2 linked regions of the Bombyx mori genome follow. The protein of the gene in region 2 interacts with the protein of the main gene of each other region in a pairwise test. Links are inferred from orthologs where the notes say so. Each region holds a gene or a part of one and is shown on either strand. Other genes may lie near its edges.

The links.
Region 1: the proteins of calcium-activated potassium channel slowpoke (region 2) and tyrosine-protein kinase Src64B interact in binary tests that used the Drosophila melanogaster proteins (3 or more experiments, as listed by UniProt). The link is inferred for Bombyx mori from reciprocal best matches to the Drosophila melanogaster genes slo and Src64B.

The regions. Positions count from the first base shown.
Region 1 is NC_085117.1:16,955,865-16,960,283, reverse strand, and holds the start of tyrosine-protein kinase Src64B, read left to right. Parts: upstream 1-1,538; 5' UTR 1,539-1,798; intron 1,799-4,419. UniProt on the Drosophila melanogaster protein: Tyrosine-protein kinase that may play a role in the development of neural tissue and smooth muscle. May contribute to tyrosine phosphorylation of Dscam1, a cell surface receptor involved in targeting of growing axons during eye morphogenesis.
Region 2 is NC_085115.1:13,419,290-13,422,945, reverse strand, and holds part of calcium-activated potassium channel slowpoke, read left to right. Parts: intron 1-949; coding exon 950-1,121; intron 1,122-1,352; coding exon 1,353-1,577; intron 1,578-1,947; coding exon 1,948-2,242; intron 2,243-2,649; coding exon 2,650-2,786; intron 2,787-3,226; coding exon 3,227-3,363; intron 3,364-3,656. UniProt on the Drosophila melanogaster protein: Potassium channel activated by both membrane depolarization or increase in cytosolic Ca(2+) that mediates export of K(+). Its activation dampens the excitatory events that elevate the cytosolic Ca(2+) concentration and/or depolarize the cell membrane.

The sequences.
Region 1 (4,419 bases), on a different chromosome or scaffold from region 2:
ATTCATTTCATTTCACTCCATATTATCATTTTTCATAAAAATATGAATATAAATTAAAATAAGACATGACTTAAAAAAGTCTCAATTACCAGGTCATAAAATCCCTTAAAAAAAATGAATTTAGAATGGATTTAGAGATGGGATAGGCGGCTTAATAAATCGAACATTTGTAATGTATTGCTTACTGTTTAACCAGGCATAAGAAAGACTTTTTCAAATAAATAAAAAATGTGTGCCGTCACGGGACGCCTGGCAGATCTGAAACATCGACATTATTTTGTAAAAGTAATAAGCAGAAAATAACAGATTGTGATAGGAACTAAATATGCCTTAATGATAAAATAAAATATTACGAAAAAATAATTTGTTTTCAAGTACAACACAGGTTATGTGTACTGTAGTAAACAACACTGTATACACTACGGAGTATACACTATAGGTATCCGAGCTCAGTGTAGCGAGAGAGATGGCTTAACGCTGGATCGAGTGGGAGAGAATCGCACAGTCGATTGCGCATGGCGACGCGTCGTCATGGCATGCGTCGCCACGCCAGAAATCGGTTTTACGTGTGGCTATAGATGTTTCACATCAAAAGTAAACGTATTAAATACACTCTTTTGATTATTATCACCACTAAAACATGAATAACGGTGCATTATCCTAAAAAGTCTACTAAAGTTTAGTGTGTTTGTTGTTTTGCGTACTTATTCGCTAGTAACTTATGGGGCTAGTCTCACGTGCCGAGTTCAACCTTAGTAAAATTTTGATCATTTCATAGCGTTTTTGCCCAAAAGACGTGGCTTTACTCATATAAAAAGGATTATTTGACTATATGGGTTACAAATAAATTTATCTATACTTTATTTTTACTGAGTACTTTATTTTTAAGAGTAGAATACATGTACATTCGTCATCCACATCACATCTGACTATAGTTTTTTTAGGATTGTAGGATTACTGGTGGCTCAGAGGCCTTCCCAATTTCACCAGGATAGGTGGGCGAGCAAGGGCTCAGCCAGAGGGGTGGGATTTGTTAACAGCTGCCAAAGCACCTCCAAAGGAGAACTGGCCACAGAGCAGCTGCTTCGCGAATGAATCTACTACTGGATCGGATCGCGACACGCTGAGAAGATCCGGCGAGAAACTCATATTAAGTTGCACGTCGAACTCTTTGCCGAGTTCGACGAGTACCTAGTGTTAGAGCTGAAGGCGTCTAATGCAAAGGTTATTGGATCTGATGGATCCGTCAGGACGTGTCTAGGGCGTCGGCGGTGACTGGCTCCTGCGTGATCAGGAGTCAGGAAGTAGTCAGCGGCGGCAACGATTAGGCGATAATTATGACGCAGTCTGTTTATAGTCACGACTGGTTGCATGAGGAGTTAACGTTAAAGTTAAAAAAAAATCAATAATTTATTTCAAATTAAATGTTTTTTTAAAGTACATATATGTTGTTTAAAAAAAAATACAAAGCCGTGTAATAAGCAAAGCTTTTGTTTTTGGAAAAAATCTGTCAATTTCTGATCTCTATATTTCGGAGCAATGACCTAATGACAGCCAGTATCTAATGATTTCGGCACTTGTTAAGGTAAAGTAAAGTTTTCGATATAAGAAATTAATGATTGTTCTTAATTCGACTATATTAAATACGTCATATGCACATTTTTGTTTTTAAAAAAAAGTTTGCATCATAAGTGCTGTATTTATTAATAGTCCATTTAAATAGAGATATTCAAATATTGAGTGAGTTGTTGTTTGTGTACAAACTTTATTAAAACTGCCGAATTTTATGAAGACGAACGTAAGTAATAAAACTTGTGCTTACAAAACATTTTCTCTATATTTTTTTCCGATACATTGTGTACAATAATTAATTGCTGTAGAATTGAGCGTCAAAAACCGACCATGTTAATGTACCATGAATGGTAATAATATTTACATGTAACAAATATAAGTATGTAATAATAATATAATGATAAATGCTAAAACTTAAGTATTAAAAAATAAATAAAATCATAAATTATATTTATAAATGAATTATTATTAAATTAAGAATATATTAAAAAAATCGACTATATTACAGAATTAAGAATACATTAAAATAATCCTTATTTATAATGACATTAAGATAATAGGATTATTTTAATCTAATTTTATTACGAAATATTTAATACATCTATCTATATATCTATTTAATATACTATATTATTATGTAGTAATATGATAACACATTAATTGATTTAAAAAAAAATTGGTGATTTATGCTAAACTGCTGCCAGATTATGGAACTCTTTTCTAACCTCATTGAAACATAGTACTCAGGAGACAGTGGAGAGGAGTTAATTCTCAAACTGGACGATGAGTGGTAATACAAGCTTACTCTCAAAATGCACTGTGGCTGAACGCAATAGTTCTAAGTAGCAAGGGTAAACTTTACTCCAGTGGTAGATAGGGCAATAGTAAAACGGTGAAGATGGCATTGTTCCAAACAATATATTTTGAGTGAATTAACCTGTTTACTATATCACAAGGTATTAGTATTCTGTTCTCGTCAAATGCTTCACAAAGCTTAATGACTATGCTCACCTGTCCTTTTTCTACTGTTAACATTACAACTAGTAGTGTCCAACAATACTGAATGGATCAAGTAGATCAGGTCAGGTCATGAGGATAAAAGATCTTGAGACCTAGATCATCGTGAAGGTCTACATTCTTCACATATCACGGTACTCACTTTTAAGATTTGGAGAGTCTGTGAGGGTTGCTGCCATGTGAGCGATATCTGAGCTTATATAAATCATATAGCCATATTTTAAAAAGTAAAATTGTATGTCTGTTAACAAAAAAAACTTGCAGCATGCCATTGAAACTGCTAACTCTTGCTTTTTCTCCTAACAACACACAAACGGTTAGTTGATCTCACAGGCTCAATCTGAGAGAACTTAGCTAGAGTAGGTCTAGCAAGACCAGTGCTCTGTTAAATTTACCACAGAATTGGAACTAGAAGTTACAATTGATTAAAACACCCGCGGTTGCATAGACCGGAGACGAACAAGTAAACACAAAAATTTATATTTAAGAGTATAAATTTGTAGGAGCCTAAAAGCCGTTTCAGAATAAACATTGAAAAATACAACATGACAGATGCATTGACTATATCAACGCTTGAAAGGCAAACTTGACTAAGCGACAATAACTGCTTTGTACATAAATGATAGGCAATAACCATATTCGATGCGCAAAAAAAATATATTTCTCATCATCATCATCATCATCATCATCATCATCATCATCATCATCATCATCATCATCATCATCATCATCAACAGCCCACAGTCGTCCACTGCTGGACATAGGCCTCTCCCAATCTACACCACTGAGCCCGGTCTGCGGCTCTCCTCATCCACTTCGTGCCGGCCACCGTGCGGAGGTCCATCTAGCCAGGGGGCGTCCCACGTTACGTCTTCCGCTGCGCGGTCTCCACTCGAGAACCCGTCTGCTCCAGCGATCGTCAGTCCTACGGCATATATGGCCAGCCCACTGCCACTTCAGCTTGCTGACTCTTTGAGATATGTCGATGACTTTAGTTTTCTGTCGAATAATCTCATTCCGGATTTTATCCTTCAGAGAAACTCCGAAATATAAATATAAAAAATATTTCTAGGTCTATTAAAATCATTTCAATCCTACAGCTACTAGCTAGATTCTACTACAGCTAGATTCGTTAAAATAAATTTTGTTTTCAGGTATTTCAACTTTAAATTAGTCTACTGTAAAGTTCACGCATTCTCGCTTAGTCACGTTTGCCTTTCAAGCGTCGAATTATATTTGATTCAAGAAAAACATAATTTCACGTATGTACGTATTACGTATTAAACGTATACGGCTATTAAACATGATTTCCATTAACATTCCTATTCTGTGACAGCGTCTCGGTGGCGCCCAGTAAGGCGCCGGATTTTCGACGCACAATGAAAGAATAGTACAAACGGACGTGGGATCCTTGTGAAATAGGCCGAAAGGGATAACGAAATAGCTTATTATGTATCGAAACACGATAACAAAGGGAAATAAATTTATGCTTTTATTACGTTTGTGAAGGTTGGAACGGATTCTAGAAGTTTTTCAGATTTTCATTCGTTAATAGACTTACGTTATCTAATGCCTTATTTATGTGAACAAAGAAAAATAAACGGTAGGTTATAATAATAAGATGAAATACAAAGGCACTAATGTTTCTTTTACAAGTCTATCGTTTCCGGGAGACCGACAAGAGAAGTATCAGAACCATTAAAAGTGAAGTATACAACAAACGTTATCATGTCTACTAACTCAAACACAAACTCACAAAATAATTAAATAAAACCTGAATTAAATGAAAGAATTATATTATATAGACGTTAATTTTATTATTTATATTTA
Region 2 (3,656 bases):
GTCTTAATAAAGTCCTAATAAAAACAATTAACAATGAATTCTATGGAATTGAAGATGTAGCAGCATTTTCTTCGGATTTCACGGGTCGGAGACATAACCAAAATTAACTTGAACGGCTTAATCCCGCGTTTTTTAATGTCATTTTATGATTACTGACACGTGACGGGAGCCAAATGCTGACGCCTGACACCTTAGATGTTCGGAACTACGAACACTGTAATGTAATCATACATCCTACATATAATAATTAAATTTAAAAAAAACGCGGGATTAAACTATAAATTTAATTTTAATTAAATTGAAGATACACTTCGAGTAAAATAATCAATAGATAAAAATAGAAAAGTAATTTGTCGATACAATTACTTCTCCTGTACACATTACCGTTTTTTTTTGTTTTTTTTTTGTTGTATTCCAGAAATTTCCGTAGTACGTAGAGCTTATGTCACGTTTACCCCCGTTTCATGTAATTGTAGATAAATATGAAAGGTTTGTAATATAAAATTTATTACTCATATTATTTAGCACTGTTATCTAGGAGCATAGCATGTTTTGGTTTTATAGAAATACGAAAGTTTAGTTCAGAAATAATTTCTGTTTAGACTTTTATAAATAGGCATTACGTTTTTTTTCACGTTTTCTCGCTATGTTTAAAACAGTACAGTCACCGATCGAGTACATTATTAATACATAAATTGCGTAGTCTATATTATACTGTTATTACTACATTAGTAGGTACCACGATCTTCTTCACAATACATTGACTATAGTATATGACCACAGTGCATGAAATAAAATAATAAAACTAAAAAAATTCCACGTTAAAAATAAAGCAAGTAATCATGTTTGAATTTACATAAAATTTAAGTTTTATCACCCGCAATTTAGCACGAAATTCGTTAGAGATATAGAAATCGAGAAAGGAATAATGTTTTGGATGACTCGACAGGCCTACTAGCAGAAGCAGTGGGGGTAATCAGAACAGCAATGGAGTTAGTCTGCCTGCTGGATTGGCAGACGACCAGTCGAAAGACTTCGACTTTGAAAAGACTGAAATGAAATACGACTCAACAGGCATGTTCCATTGGAGCCCTGCCAGGAATCTTGAAGATTGTATATTAGTAAGTAGAGCTTTGAGTTTTACCTAATTATCACTCTAACAAATTAATTTAAAAGCATTACGTACTAATTGAATGTTCATATATAATTTAATCCCTATGGAGAATTTGACCGCTCAGCATTAAACCCGGGCCCAGATAGACCAGTGAAATTCACCAAACCTTATGCTTATCGAAAAAATGTTCAATATTAAATTACCGATACCGTAAATTAAATAAAGAAAATCTCAACAGGACAGAAACCAAGCGGCTATGACGGTTCTAAATGGTCACGTTGTCGTGTGTCTATTCGCGGATCCAGACTCGCCACTGATCGGCTTGAGGAATCTCGTGATGCCGCTAAGAGCCTCCAATTTCCACTACCACGAGTTGAAACACGTGGTTATCGTAGGAAGCGTCGACTACATACGAAGAGAATGGAAAATGTTGCAGAATCTTCCGAAGATATCTGTATTGAATGTGAGTATCCTTAACGAGCATTAGTTTTTGTGAGGTTATGATCCTGTTTAAATCTGTCTCAATCTACGCGATCATAATGTAATTACTTCTAAACGGTTTACTTATAACATAGATTCGCTCTGGGTTTCTAGCCATACCTCATATTTCATTTGCTTGAGTGGCGAATTGCAAAGAAGACTAATATTGTCATGCGATATTTGACGACCAAACAACCAGGAAAAGAAAACCACCAAAATAATATATAAAGATATTGATAGCACTTAATTCCCGGTCAATGCCAAGTTGATTATCTTCAAGTCTACGAATCAGCATGCTAAATTGAACAGCTGAAGTTGACAGTCAACAATGATCGTTCGGTATATTTGTTTAGGGTTCACCGCTAAGCCGGGCCGACTTGCGTGCAGTAAACGTGAACCTATGCGACATGTGCTGTATCCTGTCAGCGAAGGTGCCATCGAACGATGACCCTACACTGGCGGACAAGGAAGCTATCTTGGCTTCGTTGAACATCAAGGCGATGACGTTCGACGACACGATAGGAGTGCTCAGCGCCGGCGCGGGGGCCAACGGCAGCAACGCGCAGCCGCTGCCGGGCCAGCCCCCCGCGCCCGTGCTGCTACAGAGGAGGGGATCCGTATACGGTGCTAATGTACCTATGATTACAGGTACACTGACCGCAGTATGTGAGGACATAATTCTAGAATATTAATATAATATAGTGTCATTTTTGAAAAATTTTAGAAGCGTTTTTTTTTGTGGGAGGAATATCGCTGGATTTTCGCCTAAGTGATGTAGACTGATAGCCTAATGTGCCACTCGTCGTGTGATTTTGAAAGATTAATTATGTTAATGTTAATTAAGTAGTTTTAATGAGGTGAAAGAACATACGATACGATAAGATGCAACTATACCAAAGTTCAAATCCTGCGAGCGGGTACCAATTTTTCCCCAGTCTACCCACGTATCTACTACTATTCTGCCTATTTATGACGCGGAGCGGTCGAGTATACAAGTGAGTCTCCGACCTCGTCTAGTGCCATTTGAAAATAATGATATTCTTTCTGCTCATCAGAGCTGGTGAACGATAGCAACGTGCAGTTCTTAGACCAGGACGACGACGACGACCCCGACACGGAGCTGTACTTGACGCAACCGTTTGCCTGCGGCACTGCGTTTGCCGTCAGCGTACTCGACTCTCTCATGTCCACTGTAAGACTTGGCTAAATCAGCATTTTAATCTTCCATCGAAATATATCAAAATTTGTAGGATATTCCGCGGCTAATTCAATGTGACCAAAACGTGAATATTGTTAATCGAGTCACTGAACGTTTTTGCAGCATTAATTTATTGACAGATGTCACAATAATCAAATGTCAAAGAACAACATCTCAGTCCGTAACCCATAGATAATAAATCACATGATATGTAAGGCGTAAACGGAACGGAACGTAACGGCGTACGGAAACCGCAAAGTATTCGATAACAATGACAAAAATAAACGCGAGATTAAATCGCAAAAATCGTTTTATTTATGTCTACGACTCCCGAAATCGGAAATGATAATTAAATTAACATTACCATTAATGTTATGCAAATCTATGAATCTTTAGTCGGGTTTCCCAAAGTTTGACCAATTTCGAACTTGCAGACGTACTTCAACCAAAACGCGTTGACACTGATCCGTTCGCTGATAACGGGCGGCGCGACCCCCGAGCTGGAGCTGATCCTCGCCGAAGGTGCCGGGCTCCGCGGCGGGTACTCCACGCCCGAGAGTCTGGCCAACAGGTCTCCGCACTACTCACTAAACAAATACCAAACTCGATGATCTCAAAACGACTTTTCAAATTCGCATCGTTAAAAACGAAAACATTGAAATCACTGGTGGTAGGACCTAGATGGTAGGACTAAGATGGGTGGACGAGCTCACAGCCCACCCGGTGTTAAGTGGTCACTGAAGCCCACAGACATCCACAACGTAAATGTGGATATCTGTGGGCCACAACGTAAAACCCACCTCGAGATATAAGTTCTAAGTTCTCAGTATAGTTACGACGGCTGCCCCACCCTTCAAACCGAAA